Saccharomyces cerevisiae S288C: one gene and its partners. Changing the gene in region 4 together with the main gene of any one other region gives a genetic interaction. Each region holds a gene or a part of one and is shown on either strand. Other genes may lie near its edges.

What was found.
Region 1: mutations in PRP18 (region 4) and CDC40 are lethal when combined (synthetic lethality), as found in Saccharomyces cerevisiae (5 studies listed by BioGRID, with this or other methods).
Region 2: mutations in PRP18 (region 4) and RPS24A together harm fitness more than expected from each alone (negative genetic interaction), as found in Saccharomyces cerevisiae (2 studies listed by BioGRID).
Region 3: mutations in PRP18 (region 4) and YDR415C together harm fitness more than expected from each alone (negative genetic interaction), as found in Saccharomyces cerevisiae (2 studies listed by BioGRID).

Annotation. Positions count from the first base shown.
Region 1 is NC_001136.10:1,201,484-1,206,462, forward strand, and holds CDC40 (Cdc40p), read right to left. Parts: upstream 2,728-4,979; coding exon 1,360-2,727; downstream 1-1,359. Other genes in the region: proteasome regulatory particle lid subunit SEM1, read left to right, coding at 645-914; pre-rRNA-processing protein ESF1, read right to left, coding at 3,014-4,900. UniProt on the Saccharomyces cerevisiae protein: May function in the second step of pre-mRNA splicing. Regulatory protein involved in replication and mitotic spindle formation and/or maintenance. Required for initiation and completion of S-phase and for initiation and completion of DNA replication.
Region 2 is NC_001137.3:303,374-307,696, forward strand, and holds RPS24A (40S ribosomal protein eS24 RPS24A), read left to right. Parts: upstream 1-2,949; coding exon 2,950-2,952; intron 2,953-3,418; coding exon 3,419-3,823; downstream 3,824-4,323. Other genes in the region: aldehyde dehydrogenase (NAD(P)(+)) ALD5, read left to right, coding at 657-2,219; YOS1 (Yos1p), read left to right, coding at 4,280-4,323. UniProt on the Saccharomyces cerevisiae protein: Component of the ribosome, a large ribonucleoprotein complex responsible for the synthesis of proteins in the cell.
Region 3 is NC_001136.10:1,296,004-1,300,824, forward strand, and holds YDR415C (putative aminopeptidase), read right to left. Parts: upstream 2,159-4,821; coding exon 1,034-2,158; downstream 1-1,033. Other genes in the region: ERD1 (Erd1p), read right to left, coding at 1-683; mRNA splicing protein SYF1, read left to right, coding at 2,429-4,821.
Region 4 is NC_001139.9:503,710-508,257, reverse strand, and holds PRP18 (mRNA splicing protein PRP18), read right to left. Parts: upstream 2,189-4,548; coding exon 1,433-2,188; downstream 1-1,432. Other genes in the region: STF2 (ATPase-stabilizing factor family protein), read left to right, coding at 1-148; ECT1 (ethanolamine-phosphate cytidylyltransferase), read right to left, coding at 318-1,289; transcription factor IIF subunit TFG2, read left to right, coding at 2,399-3,601; PEX31 (peroxisome biogenesis protein), read right to left, coding at 3,932-4,548. UniProt on the Saccharomyces cerevisiae protein: Component of the U4/U5/U6 snRNP, binding principally to the u5 snRNP. It is not absolutely required for the second step of pre-mRNA splicing at low temperatures but is required at higher temperatures.

The DNA of each region.
Region 1 (4,979 bases), on a different chromosome or scaffold from region 4:
ACCCGACTAACGTTCATATTATTAGTAAACTATCATATACAACCTAAGAAGTTGACATAAAGATTGACAAGCAGTTACCATTTTTAGTAGAAGTTGAAAAGCAAGAATTGATAACCAAATATTGTTTTCCAACAATGCAATCCCAACCCTATCTCAATATTCATAGAATTCACTTATTTCTCAGTTTAATACATGATGATGCATCTTGATATTGAGAAATTATATGTATTATCCCTTTTTAACCTTTAAAAGGTCACAAATAAATAGCCTTGTTGGCGCAATCGGTAGCGCGTATGACTCTTAATCATAAGGTTAGGGGTTCGAGCCCCCTACAGGGCTAATAACACATTCAAAATGTTATAAATTTTTTTTCGGGTTTGTGTTTAAAACTAACCTTCTAAAGAAAACAATAAAAATTATATCAACATTTCCTCATGTCTTTGTAACCTACTAGTAGGGATTTTGAAGGGCTGAAAGCTTCTTAGTTCTGTCGGATCCATTATATTATCATTATTTACGAAACTAGTGCTATGGGTGGCGAACGTGGTGGGCGTTACCTTTTAAAGTCCTAATGGAAACCTACCTATGCATAAAGTGAATAGAGTGGCAATAAAAGTCGAATAATAGTACAAATACGCAAAAATATGAGTACGGACGTTGCTGCTGCACAAGCCCAAAGTAAAATAGATTTAACAAAAAAAAAAAATGAGGAAATAAATAAGAAGTCTCTAGAGGAAGACGATGAATTTGAAGATTTCCCCATTGACACATGGGCCAATGGTGAAACAATAAAAAGCAATGCTGTAACGCAAACAAACATATGGGAAGAAAACTGGGATGATGTTGAAGTTGACGACGATTTCACCAATGAATTGAAGGCCGAATTGGATAGATACAAACGGGAAAATCAGTGAGGGGCTACATAACATTATTTCTAAATAACGCAAAAGGAAATTATACGTCTAATGTTACTTTAGTACATTGTTGTCATACTAGTATATTTTGCTTAGATGATAAAATAAATAATAAAAAGAGATACGAAAGGCTATGCGGTAGTCGATTATATGGCCTTGTAGTATAATAATGATGCACGCAAAGTATTAAATAACTCAGCTGAGATTTCTCATTTCTTTAAATGCAGTCTCAGTTTAAAAAATTAACTATATTAAGATCCGCTCTTTCTACCATATGATGCAAATGTGTCCTCGAACTAGTACTTGCAATTTCAGGTAACCCCAATCGTTTCTTTATTATTGTCATTTTTACTATCATAATAATATCATCCGTAATAACAATTAAGTAACAAATCACATCCATGTAACCATTTAATTTGTTTCAAGTAACATTCCGAGTGAATAGCTAGTCACATACATATATCTTACCTGCCGCTCCGCTGCAAATGACTTTACTTGTTTCTTGAGGATGCCAGTCCACTTGAGTTATAGGCTTGTTGCCTGGAATCTTGATGTTATTTAATAAGCGCGACGTATTCCAATCCCAAGTAAATAGTCTGCTTTTTGAATCGCCTGAACATATGTAACGACCATCACCAGAAAAAGCCAAGCTTATCCCATAACCAGCAGATGAATGCCCTTTAAATATCTTTTTTGGATGCCTCTTATATTTGGGTTTCAAACTGAAAGAATATATTCTATTATCCATGCTTTGTGCACAGAAATAGTTCTGAGACGGATGTACATTTAAAAATGGCATAGAATGTTGAGCCGTGTCACTTATTTGTTTTATTGGTACATTGATCTGATTTTCCCAAATTCTTACCGTCTTATCCTCTGAAGAAGAAATAAACTTCGAACCATCGGGAAAATACTTGAGAGCCAGAATGCTACTTAGGTGATGATCATATGTCTGCACAAGACCTTGATTTTCTGAAACACGATCATCATAATGTAATATTTTCGAATTCGATAAACCTACAATGAACTCATGTGGGTTAGTGGGCCGAGATTCAACATCTGCAGGCGTTGAATTAAGGTGCAACCTGGTTTTCACTTTACCAGTTTCAGTATCCCAAATTTTAACGCTTCTATCAAAGGAAGAGCTCAAAAAAGATTGACAGTCTTCGGTGAATCGTAATGCTTTAATAGGCTTGTTATGACCTTGAAAATCTCGTAGGCATTCATAGTCATGGTAGAAATCCCAAATTTTTATAGTATGATCATTACCACCAGAGAGAATTAAGTGTCCAGTTTTAGGTAAGAATTTCAGGGCAGTGGTTCCTTCTGGATGCCCCGGATAATTACGTATAACTTTTTTTGGTAAGTAACACCGAAAGGATATCCTTTCCTCACGAAGATCAACATCGACGTCATTTGGTGGATATAAATATCCTCTGCCTTGATAGTCCTTTTCTGATTTACCATAAAAATGGGAGACTTCCTCTACCTCTATCTGTTCCGAATCTAGGTTGTCCTCAGCCAGCGCGTGCACGAAGATATCCTGATCTTCTTTCTGAGTTTCGCTGGCTTGTGAAGTTTCATCGTCACTACTTGACCAACTGCCCCACGGCCCATCTCCTTTGCGAGTTTTCCGTCTTCTTTTTAGTTCTGACTTTGTAAAATGTGATTTTCTCTTATGAATATTATTTGAAGAAGGTTCATACGAAGTATCTTCATGCAAATTACCATTTTTCTTTTCATGAACAGATTTGCCTTCGTCGAAGTTCAAATCAGAGTCTGAGCTTGTGTCATAACCGTCTACTAAACCCATTTCATCTGCTCTTCAAAGTACATGCCGTGTTTGTTGCACTATTTGGCCAAAAATAAAGGAAAAATTTCAAGATTTTTTTTTTACCTCATCTCTAGCAAGGACACAGTACTCCCTCGTAAATAAGACAAAATACAAAAAAGAAAATTCAAAGAAATGGTATTACAAGAACCGGTCAGAGAAACATTACGATAATTGATATCAACTACAAATCCAATGATGCATTCTTTATAATTGTACATATCTATTTGTATTCAAGTTTCATTTAAATACTATTTCATTGACTGCTTTAAACCTTTACCTTCTTGGATGATTTGCTTTTCTTTTTCAACTTGTTTACCAAGTTACCAATATCTTCATTATCATCTGCGTTATTGGTCATATTGTTTTCACTACCGCCAAGTTTTCTTTTCTTATTCTTAACACGTTTACTACGTTCTTTTAGGATTTTACTCATAGCTTGTGTACCTTTGAATTCAGGCTGGGTCGGGTCGATAGCAAAATCGTGATCTTCGAAGACTTCTTTAAATCTAGGATCTTCTAAATCAGGTGTAAAGGTGTCTTCAACAATTCTCTCTTTCTTTTGATACCGGCCTTTCTTGTGTTTTTCTTTTTCTGATCTTAAGATTTCGTTCATGTTGAAATGTGCTTTGTTATTTATTGTGCCCTGAGTTTCGGTATCATCATCATCATCCATTAAAAGCTCCAATTCAGCCTTTGATTTGGCATTCTTTTCGATCTCCTCTTCATCGTTAGTATGCTTTTTATTAACAGATTTCAACTTGCTTTTCTTATCCTTCTCCGACTGCTGTTTCAATTCCTTTACTTTCTGCTTTCTTGCTTTACGACGTTCCTTCTCTTTTCTTCTTATTTTCTCTATAGTCGTTTCTTCTTTGTCTTCCGACGATTTCTCGTTTCCTCCTTCCAAGGCTGGAGTAAATGTAATTTCCATATCAACTTCTTCATCTTCATCGTTAGGGGTTTCTTTCTTGGAATTAAACCCAAAGTCACCAACCAACGACTTTAGTTTATTTTTCGCCTCTTCATCGACCTGCCCATCCGATTCATCACTATCTGACGCCAAGTAAGCCTTAAAGTCCATATCATCAATTTCCTTTTGGGTAAAGGCCCTCTTAGCAACTTCGACCCTATCAGCTGGCGTTTCATCCCAGGTCAATTTGACGCTTGAATGTTGTAGAGCATCTGTGCTAAACTGGTGTGGCCTATAGTTCTTAGGCAATATACTGCATTCATCTCTTACATCATCATCAAAAGTCATACCATCAGGAACATACCTTAAATCGAACATATTAGCGGTTGACTCATATTCGGTACCATCACAGTTATCATAGATAGCTTTGGAGGTGGTTGTATCACTACAATAAACTATTGCGTAATAATATCTTAATCTGTCCAACTGGTATTGACGTAAAGCTCTGGAATCCACGTCCTTGTCAGCATCTCCCTCTTCATAAAGATCCTTAATACCGATGTCCATATCAGAATCAGAGTCATCAGTTTTCTTCTTTTTGGAGGTTTTGTTCTTATTTTTCTTTTGGAAAAGTTCCTTTGGAGGTCCTTCAACTTCCTCGCGTTGCATTCTTTCTTTACCAAATTCACTTGGATAAATAGCAACTCTTTCAATTTTACCACCTTTAGGAACGAAACTGGAAAAGGTAATCATCAAATCCTCAGATTTAACATGGTCCCAATCTAAATTTACGACGGCCAAATTCTTAGAGATGTCACCAGATTCTGGTTTGGCATTTTCAATTTCTACTTCATTTTCTTCTTCGCTTTCAACTTCACTTTCTCCGGACGATTCAGAATCAGAAGAAGTGAATTCATCAGAAGAGCTAACATAATCATCAGGAACTTCACCACGGGCACGGTCCACTACTGTTTTCGCATTAACTTCTGAATCTTCATCATTTTCTGCTTCCTTTTCGAAATATTTGTCGAAATCTTCCAATTCCCTGTTATTCTGCGCATTTTTGATCTTTCTACCATACTTGTCAACCTTAGATTTATGCTGGACCTCCAGATCCTTCTTACTGAACCTAGAATCTAACTTGATCTTATGATCTTTGGTTTTCGTGTTCTTAAATTTAGGATCGCTGTAGATCCCGGCAAACCTAGCATCTACACCTTCCTTCTTTGGGTTCTCTCCAGCCATCTTCAATTTTTCTTGCAACCTTATACGATCCGCTGAAATGTCTTGAAAAATATTCCGGACCCACAGTTATGTGATATTT
Region 2 (4,323 bases), on a different chromosome or scaffold from region 4:
ATCAAGTTGAAAATCAGCCCCTTTCACTAGATATCAAGCGCTATAAAAAAATTTTAATTTCGATGAGGCATCTTTCTTTTCTCTTGTGGCTATGTAAGCCTAAGAAGCCGTTTACACATCAATGATAAATAAGTATACAAAAAGGGTTCCATTTTTTTTTTTGGCCGCTACCGGACTAGCAAGGGCCTAATGGTACGCTGAGCGTAGTACAACCAAGCGCTTGTTAGCCGTAGAGTTAAGCTCTTGACTACTATTACGGTAAAAGCCGGGAACGTGCGTAACAATTTTTTTTTGCATTAGGTTAAAGAGGCTCGCTCGCGGAGCCTTTAGAATACCGCTTAAGGCGCCAAAAGATGGAAGCTATTCTCTTTCTTTTTTTTTTCACAAACTGAGAGGGGTTGTGTATCGTTAAAAATGTTGGAAGACTTCTGACTCATCACTACGCAGATTGTTAGAGTTTTTCGATGAGAATGGCTTCAAAGAACAGAACAAAACACGATTATATAAGCCCCATGTAAAAAGAACGTCTTAATTTATTTTGAATTTAGGACTTCTTGACATTTTTAGCATATATAACAATACGATAAGTGTCTCATCAAACGTGGTTAAGACAGAAAACTTCTTCACAACATTAACAAAAAGCCAAAGAAGAAGAAATGCTTTCTCGCACAAGAGCTGCAGCTCCGAATTCCAGAATATTCACTAGAAGCTTGTTACGTCTTTATTCTCAAGCACCATTACGCGTTCCAATTACTCTTCCAAATGGTTTCACCTACGAACAGCCAACAGGGTTATTCATCAATGGTGAATTTGTTGCCTCGAAGCAAAAGAAAACGTTTGACGTGATCAATCCATCTAACGAAGAAAAGATAACAACTGTATACAAGGCTATGGAAGATGATGTTGATGAAGCCGTTGCAGCGGCTAAAAAAGCTTTTGAAACGAAGTGGTCTATTGTAGAGCCGGAGGTTCGCGCTAAAGCTTTATTCAATCTCGCTGACTTGGTTGAGAAACACCAAGAAACACTGGCTGCCATTGAGTCAATGGATAATGGTAAGTCATTGTTTTGTGCGCGCGGTGACGTCGCTTTAGTATCTAAATACTTGCGTTCTTGCGGTGGTTGGGCAGATAAAATCTACGGTAACGTTATTGACACAGGTAAAAACCATTTTACCTACTCAATTAAGGAACCATTAGGCGTTTGCGGCCAAATAATCCCTTGGAACTTCCCTTTATTGATGTGGTCATGGAAAATTGGGCCTGCTCTGGCTACAGGTAACACCGTCGTATTGAAACCCGCTGAAACAACACCTTTATCTGCCCTTTTCGCTTCCCAGTTGTGTCAGGAAGCAGGCATACCCGCTGGTGTAGTCAATATCCTTCCGGGTTCCGGTAGAGTTGTTGGAGAAAGATTGAGTGCACACCCAGACGTGAAGAAGATTGCTTTTACAGGCTCTACTGCCACCGGCCGCCATATTATGAAGGTCGCTGCCGATACTGTCAAGAAAGTCACTTTGGAGCTGGGAGGTAAATCACCAAATATTGTGTTTGCTGACGCTGATCTAGATAAAGCCGTCAAGAACATTGCCTTCGGTATTTTTTACAACTCTGGTGAAGTTTGCTGCGCTGGTTCCAGAATATACATTCAAGATACAGTATACGAGGAGGTGTTGCAAAAACTAAAGGATTACACCGAGTCACTAAAGGTCGGTGACCCATTTGATGAGGAAGTTTTCCAAGGTGCTCAAACATCTGACAAACAGCTGCATAAAATTTTAGACTATGTCGATGTAGCAAAATCAGAGGGGGCTCGTCTTGTGACTGGAGGGGCCAGACATGGCAGTAAAGGTTATTTTGTCAAGCCAACAGTGTTTGCTGATGTCAAAGAAGATATGAGAATTGTTAAGGAGGAAGTGTTTGGTCCCATTGTAACTGTATCCAAGTTTTCTACTGTTGATGAAGTGATTGCTATGGCAAATGATTCTCAATATGGGTTAGCCGCAGGTATTCACACTAACGATATTAACAAGGCTGTTGATGTGTCCAAAAGAGTGAAAGCTGGTACTGTTTGGATAAATACCTATAACAACTTCCACCAAAATGTTCCTTTCGGTGGCTTCGGCCAGTCAGGTATTGGCCGTGAAATGGGTGAGGCTGCTTTAAGTAACTACACTCAAACAAAATCTGTCAGAATTGCCATTGACAAGCCAATTCGTTGAAGTAACTCAGGCCCGAGTTGACTGCTCATTGAAGGTATGTATGATAAACATTATAGAATAATGAAAAATGCCTCGTGACATACAGATAAAATCTAACAAGGATATATTCAAAAAAAAAAAAACAAAACAAAAAAATAATAACGTGATAAACATTAATGAACAATGTATTTACATTCTTAAGCATAGGTGAGAAATTACCTTCTTTACTTTTTTTTTTTTTTTTGGTGATATTGTATATTGAAATATATAGTAATCAAATTCGTTTCATTGATCAAATTGCTCACTAGTTCTGTTTTTCAAAATTTCATCTTTATAGGTAGATACAAGTGCCAGAGAGATATATAAACAGAAAACTCTATCGATGTGATAATGTATGCCAATATCGGGACTGTACACCCACACATTTACAAGCCCACACATCCTACAACTTTCTTTTCATTTCTTGCGCTTCTTCCACTGTCATAAAATATGATTGTCCGATGCCGCAGCCTACGCCTCGGCGAGTATTCATCACCTAAGCGTCCTGTAGGCGGGGCCACGCAGTCACTAACGGAATACTCCAGAAGGCTGCTTCCTTTGGAAGGAAGTTTCACTCGGTTGTCCACCCAGCGCTTTAACTTTGTCTCAGCGAAGAAGAATTGAATAACTATAGTGAATTTCAAGAGCTAGAGGATGGTTAGGTATTAGTTCAAAACAAAGATTTCAAGAAACCAACATAGATTAAGCAGAAATGGTATGTTAAAAAGTGCTCAGATGAAAGATGACGTCCCATATTCCATGTTAAAGTTGCCATGAGTTAGTATAAAAGGCAATAAAGGTACCATAACGAGAAAAGAAAGTAAAAGAAGAAATGTTTTGCAAATTTAAGGTGGCGTAACAGCAACTATTGGCTAATATATTAATGGCAATCATTGTGAAAAGAAATGTGAAATCCGTATCGTAATTGGTTAAATTTATAACTCAAATTTAAACACTCGAATAGCTGACCCGTAATATTTTATCCCGCTTTAAGAGTTCAACGCTAAAAAATGATATCTAGCTAACCATTATGCTACAGGAACCTTTTTTGGACTATTATCCCTATCATGAAAACTGGAAGGATCTTTCAAGGACGCCATTTCCAAAGATTTCCCCCACACTGGAACCTATTTTACTAACAATTTTTAAAATGGTTTTTTACCTAAATTGTTTTTTCTCAGTCTGACGCTGTTACTATCCGTACTAGAAAGGTTATCTCCAACCCATTGTTGGCCAGAAAGCAATTCGTCGTCGACGTCTTGCACCCAAACAGAGCTAATGTCTCCAAGGATGAATTGCGTGAAAAATTAGCTGAAGTCTACAAGGCTGAAAAGGACGCTGTCTCCGTTTTCGGTTTCAGAACCCAATTTGGTGGTGGTAAGTCTGTTGGTTTCGGTTTGGTCTACAACTCTGTTGCCGAAGCTAAGAAGTTCGAACCAACTTACAGATTAGTCAGATACGGTTTGGCTGAAAAGGTTGAAAAGGCTTCCAGACAACAAAGAAAGCAAAAGAAGAACAGAGACAAGAAGATCTTCGGTACTGGTAAGAGATTGGCTAAGAAGGTTGCTCGTCGTAACGCCGATTAAGCAAACTAACTTCAAAACGTTAAATCATTTTTACGGATTGTTTAGTTTTCTATATATAAATATGTGTATCTTTTTCCAATAAAAAATATAATCAATAATTTTAAGAGATCCGTGGATTCATTTCGTAATAGAAAATCTCGGAAAAATGGTACAGAATATTGTTGGCTAAGTGCTTCAGATTGCATCATCAGAAAAGTAAAAATACCCCCGTAATCCATCTTCTCTACATTTAATCTCATAGTGCTCGTAATGTCTCGAAATTTGTCTTTCGTGATCATTGCACAGTCTTTTCATTTGTCACAGTCACGTGATTACATTTAAGTACAGTATATCCAAAAAATTAGCTGGACTGGGAGCCTTCTCAATAAGTTGGCGGTTTATATACTCAAACCTATTAATAGGAAAGAACTCACAAAAGAAGCCTTTTGGAAGAGAAAACTTTGATATAGAGGGGATATGGTACTGTTTGGACTAGGTAGACTATTTTACGTCATTTTATT
Region 3 (4,821 bases), on a different chromosome or scaffold from region 4:
AGATTACAACTGTATTTCAATGCATTGAATAGTAAAGTTGCTTCGTGCAGTAAACGGTATTCTCTCAAACACTGCAGTAGTCTTACCAGTACAGGAAGAAGGGCTACGGATAGATCAAAATGTGTGAAGGGTTCTCTAAAAATTAGAGAGGTAAACAATGTGAAGTCTATCAATGGTTTTGCAAACGATGTCAACGTGTCAGAGATTAAAATGTAGGTATTCCTTAAGGAACGGGGGGAGGATTCTATCAACAAACATCTCCTAGTACAATATTTTATTATCTGGCACTCTTTCAACAGAAACCAAAATATAGTGACACATTGGATCAATGGTAGAAAATATACGATGAGAATGATATTTTTGAGTGGACCTTCTATAATATTCATGAACTCAAAAAGGAACACAGTGGCAAAGTGGAACGGTATAATAATCCTTGTTATCTTCAAAGCAAAATTTCTAGCTGTTCTATGCAATTGCTGTAGAGTATAACCTGGACGTATATCGTGCGGTACTCTCGTGAGTATGACTTGGGATACGTCTAAATTACTATGCAAGAAGAATTTTAATATCCATGTCCAGATCCAAAGGGCAAGTATTATGAGCACAATAAATCGCTGCGGAGGGGGAACATTTAATATATTTTGGAGATAAAGTCCTTCAGAATTACTTTCGCTTTTCTCCATATTTTGCGGCCCAACTTGTTGCAGAATTGAAAACTTTGTATAATACTAATAATAATTTATAATAATAACAATAATAATTTATAACAATAATAACAATGCCAAACAATTTATATGGGTAACCAGTTTTTGGTACTGTTTGCCATCAATATTGCGACTAAATCGGGAGCGGTTAGCGCTGGCTTGCACTTTTTGCAACTGACTCTATTTCTTTCATTGATTATGTTATTTTCAGATGACGAAATACGCCAAAAAAATTCGGGAAATAAATACTAGCGTGATATCGGTTTAGGTATATTACAAAAGAACACCAAGGTAAGGCATCATTAGTTATGTATGCATATTACTGACTTTTACCAAGCGGACCATGACCCGAGTTCAATGATTACCCCTAATACAATTTTTGTGTGTTCCGCCATATGAGCGAGACTTAATCTGTCCAAAGTATCCATGGTGCTGTGAATATACTTGTTAGTCTTTTTGAACTCACTTTCAATCACGAAGGAGCCTGGAAATCCGTTTCTGGTGGCACTCCCATGATCGCTACAAGCATAGCCACATTGTGTATCCCTGTAAGGAATGGATAGATAAGAGTTGATAATTAGTTTTATAAAATCAGTTAATGCGGGAGTAGTGTAGTCGGTGACAATCCCCACATGTTCATCTTCTGGATCAGAAACATATCCCGTCATGTCTTGCTGAAGCATCGCTCTCACATGCTTTTTCTGTTTGGCATAAGCTGTAAAAACATCAAGAGAACCCAACAATCCCCCCTCTTCGGCGGAATAAAAGTGAAATTCCACAGTGTTGTTAGGTCTAAATCCTCTCTTCAAAAAATTTTCCGTATATAATCTGAGAGCCTCCATATTAGTCACCGTGCCTGACCCATTGTCGTCCGCACCTGGAGCTGCCATTATGGATGGCAGTAGCAGATTGATAGAATCTTGATGAGAACCAATTATTATAATATCTTCTGGCGTAGTAGATCCCGTGACACGGACTATAATTGAATATTGCTTCCATTCTTTGTGATCAAAATGTTCAATAGTCAACGTATCTTGCGGAATATCTTTTGTAATATTAGCGATAGTTGCAGCTAACCACTCGGCAGATTCAAAGCCGTGATCGGACTTGTAGTAACGGGTGTAAAAACTTGTAAACTTTGCCAAGTTCTTGTGCATAGAGCCCTTGTCTATATTCTTAATCGAATCATCCACTACTTCTTTGTTCGATATCTCAGGAGGATAGTTATACGTTGGTACTGTTGGCTCTTCCTCCTTGTTAAAGAAAGGTAAGAAAGAAGTGTGTTTGGTCACATCAAAGAATTTGACACCTCTTCTTCGTAAGTTTAGCTTTTCTGATTCGGGAACCTCCATTACCTCATTCTCTCCTACTTGTAAAACCCTTAAAGGCTCATATGGATATGACCATGCGATGATGGCAACATTAAATAAAACAAAAAGCGACTGTATCCTCATATTGTGCTAATCAGCGGTTGATTATGTTACTTACTTTTTCGAATAAAGATTTTGTATTTCTTTAGCTTCGAAGATTGATAATTATTGAATATCAAGTTTCAGTTTACTATAGCGGTCCGAACATATGAAAGATTTTAGTAAAGACGCTGGCAAGCTTTTCAGTCAAAATAATACAAAAGGAAATAGATAGAAAAAAAGGAAATAATCAGGCCTCCATATTGGACTCAACTATCCTTCAGTACCGCAAAACTTATTGTGTCCATATATCCTATGTCAGCATACATCGCAATGAAAGGAGTAATAACAAACGTCGATGAGAACATAAGAAATGATGAAGATGTGGCTTTTGAGTACGAAATACAAAAGACACCGCAGAACATACTTACATGGAAAAGATATATCGAGTATTGGAAAGAGGAGGGAAGAACTGACAAACAGATTAGGTGGCTATATGAAAGATTTTGTTCACAATTTGTAACAGATACAAGTATATGGGAAGATTATATACGCTGGGAATCAACAAAGGAAGTAGTCGAAACTTCACGTATTTTCTGGCTTTTTCAAAGGTGCCTGAAAAGCTGTGTACGAGATTGTGACAGGATATGTTTGTCTTATTTAGAATTGGCAATTGAACAATATGACTTGGCAATGATAAGGCATGCCTTAGCTTCATCTTTAATGAAAATGGAGAGAGAAATGCATCGGAAAGTTTGGGATCCTGTCATAAAATTTGTGGAAGAAAAAGTTTTACCATTAACGCAACTGGATTCAACTCAAGAAGATGAAGAAGAAAGTACTGATGAAGCTGAATTGATAAATGTACTTTTAGTGAAGGGTTTCACGAAGGGAGGTTTTATTAGCGAGGAAATTAGTGAAAACGGAAGTAGAGGTGATATTTGGTCGTCACATATTTTAGAAAGATACTTAAAAGTGGCTCCTCAGCAAAAACGAAATGAATCGCTGGCAACTCTTGCATTAACTAGAGACAATATTACCATCAAATCAGTATATGAAAAGTATTTGCCACAAGATGAAAATAGTGGGAAGTATCTACCTAGTTCAGAACTGCCTTTTGAATTAAATTTCAATTATTTGGCCAGCCTAGAAAAACTAGGTTTAGATAATCAATATGAGGAGTTCATGAGGCAAATGAATGGCATATATCCCGACAAATGGCTTTTTTTGATCCTATCACTTGCCAAATATTATATCTCTCGCGGGAGGCTTGACAGTTGTGGTGATTTATTGAAGAAAAGTTTACAGCAAACACTTAGGTACAGTGATTTTGATCGCATCTATAATTTCTATTTGCTATTTGAGCAAGAGTGCTCCCAATTTATTCTGGGAAAGCTAAAGGAAAATGACAGCAAATTCTTTAATCAAAAAGATTGGACTGAAAAGTTACAAGCTCATATGGCGACATTTGAATCTTTAATCAACTTATATGATATCTATTTGAACGATGTCGCACTAAGGCAAGATTCCAACTTGGTGGAAACGTGGATGAAAAGAGTGTCCTTGCAGAAGTCAGCAGCGGAAAAGTGTAATGTGTATTCAGAAGCTATACTGAAAATTGATCCCCGAAAAGTTGGTACGCCTGGCTCTTTCGGTAGGCTTTGGTGTTCGTATGGGGATTTGTATTGGAGATCAAACGCAATTAGTACAGCTAGAGAATTGTGGACACAATCTCTGAAGGTACCGTATCCTTATATAGAAGATCTGGAAGAAATTTACCTAAACTGGGCTGATAGAGAATTAGATAAAGAAGGGGTGGAAAGAGCTTTTTCTATCCTTGAAGATGCATTACATGTGCCAACAAATCCAGAAATTCTCCTCGAAAAATATAAGAATGGACACAGAAAAATACCTGCTCAAACTGTTCTATTCAACTCATTACGTATTTGGTCCAAATACATTGATTATCTAGAGGCTTACTGCCCAAAGGATGCAAATTCCTCCGATAAAATATTCAATAAGACAAAAATGGCATACAATACTGTTATTGATTTGAGATTGATCACTCCAGCAATGGCAGAAAATTTTGCATTGTTCTTACAAAATCATTACGAAGTCATGGAAAGTTTTCAGGTGTATGAGAAAACAATCCCTCTGTTTCCCCCCGAAATCCAATACGAATTATGGATTGAGTATCTAGAAGTAGCGACATCACATCAATTGTCATCACTGAGTCCTGAACATATTAGATTTTTGTTTGAGAAAGCACTTAAGAATCTATGTTCAAATGGTATAGACTGTAAAACAATTTTTATCGCTTATAGCGTATTTGAAGAAAGGATAAGTGGTCTGATTAGCAAGAGTATTGAGATATTACGTAGAGGTGCTGTAATAGGTACTGTTAGTGTGAGCACGCACCTCGAAAGTAGACTGCAACTGTGGAGAATGTGTATTTCCAAGGCCGAGTCTACTTTGGGACCATCAGTAACCAGAGAGTTGTACCAAGAATGCATTCAAATTTTACCAAACTCTAAAGCTGTTGAGTTTGTGATTAAATTTTCAGATTTCGAGAGCTCTATAGGAGAAACTATTCGAGCACGTGAAATCCTTGCCTATGGTGCAAAGCTTCTTCCTCCATCCAGAAATACTGAATTATGGGATAGCTTTGAAATTTTTGAGTTAAAACATGGGGATAAGGAAACTTACAA
Region 4 (4,548 bases):
TTCCGGCAAGGGTAATTGGGGTAAGCCAGGCGATGAGATTGATGACTTAATTGATAATGGTGAAATACCCCCAGTGTTCAAGAAAGATAGAAGAGGCTCAAATTTGCAATCGCATGAACAAAAGTTTGAAAACGTCCAAAAGGAATGAGGGCGTTTTCAAGATAAAAAAAGGTTTTTTGATCTCTGAAGGATAGTGGCCTTCTCCACTGATTTATATGCATCTATAGGTATATACTTGCATGCCTACTTCATGACTTATGTAATACAGTTTTCTTACATCCATTTAATTTACGTTCGAAGAAGTTTTCAACATTTGTTTATATGGACATTCCCTTTTTTTGGTTCCTCGCAATGTAAACCTCCCTTTGCGATTCCACCCTCTTCACAATAAGCTCTTTAGTCAAGTATTCACTGAATTTTCCGGCAGCAGTGAGGACAGCCGTGCCAATATGATACTTCTCGCAGTTATACTGAGACATTGAGGTGGCGTCAGCATCGATAATAACGGCATCAACATATTTACAACTTAAAACGCTCAAGACGCGTTCCTTCATCGTCATAATGGTACTCGAGTAATCGCTTGTGGTAATACCAACAATCAATTTCTTATCGGGGTGAAGATCCATTTTCAGCTTTCTTAACTGATCAATATCCCCCATATGGAATAAGTCAAAATCCCCGTCAACATAAACACAATCTTCTGCATCGAATTTGTATCCACCATTGACCAAGACATTGTCCAAATCCCTCTGAAAGACATAACAATGTTTTGAAACGGCATCTTGGGCGACAGAATAGAAACTCAATTCCTGGGTGGTGGGATAATAATCAGGATGAGTCGGTGGCAAAGATTTTTTCGTCAATATTCTATGTATAATCTCGGTAGTACTTACGCCATATGTTCTTTTAACTACCTTGAAGCGCCCCATCTCTTTCACCAACTTATAGCAGTCTTCTCCATTAGCATCTATGGTGATATCATCACCATGAACAACATATTGGCACTGATATTTATCCATCCAATTGGGATCTGTAACATATGGCGCCGCTTCAACCACTTCCGAACACCACCTATTTGATCTAGTATGCTCATATCTTTCTGAAGAGTTCATTACTGGTGTTCCTTTGTTATGCTGAATATCTTCATCGGTATGCACACCACAGAATAGTTTACCATTTTCTTTTGAAACTGTTCGACGAGCCTGCAAAATGGCTCCCGCATGCCCATGATGTGTGAAATCAAAGCAGCCGTCTATCCAAACTTTATCCGGATCTAAGTTTACCGTCATCCAGTCAGTATATTTCAAGTCCCGATCCTGTAAAGCATTTGTCTCTGGAAAATTGAACAAAGGCTATCAACATCTGCATTCTTGCTTCTTATTTTGGCCGCATGATATCGTGCCACGCGATAACGAAAACAATAGTTCAACAATTAGGCTAAGCTATCGTGGTTGCTGGTATACCATTCTTCAAAAGTTATTAATCTTTTAATACTGGTAATCCATAATCGCGTTCTTTCATCAATCATTATGTTAGCAGCATTCCGGCCTCCTTGAATTTTCGAATGTGCACTACGAGCATGAATGCCTACGCTAGTAACACCAATAGGCCAGGCCACATTGCCGATACTGAGTTTCATATAGGACTGAACGGCTAAATTTATTTCTTTAGGTTGTTGTAAATGATAGAGAACGGTCGCAAGGGAAATAAGTAAATCCGGGGCAAGCTGGTTCCTTCGTAGTTGCAGTAGGAGTGGAAAGAGTGCTTTTTTAGTGTCTAAGAACAGCTCCGGATGATAAGCTTCCAAAGACGCCTTCCAACGAGATAATATTTCGTGAATATATAAATTACATTTCATTGACAAAAGAGGTTTTCCTTCAGTAGAACCAATTTGTGATGGATCAATGATTACAGAGATGGTTTTGTCTTGAGCTATCGCTTCTTGTATCCTTTCTGGCCGATTTTCTAATTTGCTAATGGTGGTCCTAATATCGTCACTCTGATTGTCTGACAGGTTTTCTTCATCTGTACTTTCTTGTTCTACCTGTCGCGGTGTTTCGTCTATGTTTGCGGATTCATGTGGCTGGAATTTCTCAGTGCATGGTGGCTGAACACCTTTAGAGTTGGCCAGCTCTTTCTTCTTCTTAGAAATTTCACCTTTTAAGATACTGGCTAGATCTAGGTCCATTTTATGCTCTTATTACTTGTAGAGGAAAAAACATTGAAGTTCTTTCCATTGGGGCCCTTTCCAAAGGTCGATTCTCTTCTTAACTTTTTCATCTTCCCTTGCGCGAAATGAATAAATTATCAGGCTTGAAATTAGAAGAATAAGACATATGCTGTTGGCTTCAACGCATAACGCAATATTAAGAGTAAAATAGAAGACCAACTTAACACCATGAGCAGTGGTTCAGCAGGGGCACCAGCACTTTCTAATAATTCCACGAACTCTGTCGCGAAGGAGAAATCAGGTAACATTTCCGGTGATGAGTATCTTTCGCAAGAGGAGGAAGTTTTTGACGGTAATGATATTGAGAATAATGAAACCAAAGTTTATGAAGAATCCTTAGATTTGGACTTGGAACGTAGTAATAGACAAGTCTGGTTAGTTAGATTGCCCATGTTTCTAGCAGAGAAATGGAGGGACAGAAACAACTTGCATGGCCAAGAACTGGGTAAAATTAGGATAAACAAGGATGGGAGTAAAATCACACTTCTATTGAATGAAAATGATAACGATTCTATACCGCACGAATATGATTTAGAACTTACAAAGAAAGTAGTAGAAAATGAATATGTTTTCACAGAACAAAATTTAAAGAAATATCAACAACGTAAAAAGGAGTTGGAAGCAGATCCTGAAAAGCAAAGGCAAGCTTACCTGAAGAAGCAAGAACGTGAAGAGGAACTTAAGAAGAAGCAGCAGCAGCAAAAACGTAGAAATAATAGAAAAAAGTTTAATCACAGAGTTATGACAGATAGGGATGGTAGAGATAGATATATACCATATGTGAAGACGATTCCCAAAAAAACCGCCATTGTGGGTACAGTTTGCCACGAATGTCAGGTTATGCCATCAATGAATGATCCTAATTATCACAAGATTGTTGAACAGAGAAGAAATATTGTCAAGCTTAATAATAAGGAAAGGATCACAACTTTGGATGAAACCGTTGGTGTTACGATGAGCCACACAGGTATGTCCATGAGGTCAGACAACTCGAATTTCTTGAAAGTGGGGCGTGAGAAGGCCAAGAGCAATATTAAATCTATTCGTATGCCAAAGAAGGAAATCTTGGATTACTTGTTCAAGTTATTTGATGAGTATGACTACTGGTCCTTGAAGGGGTTGAAGGAACGTACTAGGCAACCTGAAGCACATTTAAAGGAGTGTTTGGATAAAGTTGCCACTCTAGTGAAGAAGGGCCCATATGCATTCAAATACACTTTAAGGCCAGAGTATAAAAAGTTGAAAGAGGAGGAGAGAAAGGCAACCTTAGGTGAACTAGCTGATGAGCAAACAGGTTCCGCTGGAGACAATGCGCAAGGAGACGCGGAGGCTGACTTGGAAGATGAAATAGAAATGGAAGATGTCGTTTAGTTGACAATCAGATTTTCTTCATTAATTTTATATTTACGCAGTTTCTTGAGCCCTATATATACTCTTTTTAAAATTTACAGTTTTGTTTAATTTATTATGTCTCTATTAGTTTTGGCTATCTGTACATATGTATTTAGATGCATTGAAGTTCCGTAAAAGAATGCTTGCTGGAATAAGAGACTGATGGAGAACTTGCCATAACCGCGCAGATACTTTAAAGCACAAGATTGAATTTGTGCTCCATGCAGCCAATGAAAGAAACTCTGAGATTGCTGTGTGCCCTTGCACCGACCAGTGTGAACGTTGTTGTCCATATGGGGCATGCACTCATTATAGAGAAGGAGACATTGAAACATCAGATATTTGTATTAATTTGCTACTGTCCGAGGAAGGTATGATATGCACTTCATTTGCTGTACTAAATGACACTTTTCTTTTTCTAACTCTATTATTTTCTTCACTCTTCAGAGCATGAGAATTCGGTGTAGCTTTTTCTACAGTGGGCTCATCGTCATACGTTGTTGTTACTGTTGCAGTCCTGATCCACCTCCTTCTTCTTGTGTACTTTTTATATGTGTCCGTTGCAGAGGGATTATTCCAGGTGTTATCATAATATATGAAACCTTCATCTGCACCTGGCTTAACTTTTGTCTTAGCAGCAGAAGCAGGAAGTTGAATGATCCCATCATTTGTTAGGTCAAGCATCCAATCTTTATCGTGCCATTCCCAAGCCATTCCCGACTGCTCCTCTGGTAAAGTAAACACTTCTGGGCTTGGAGAAGTATTTAGGAATTCATCTGTCCAAGATGCGCGCTCATAACTCAACATAGTTGATGTCCATCCGATGCCAAGCCAGCGGCGCTGGTTTTCAAACAGAGCAACCTTGAAAAGTACAGTCTTTTTAGTGTTAGATGTGTTCCCTACCTCATTCCAAACAAAGGACCTTA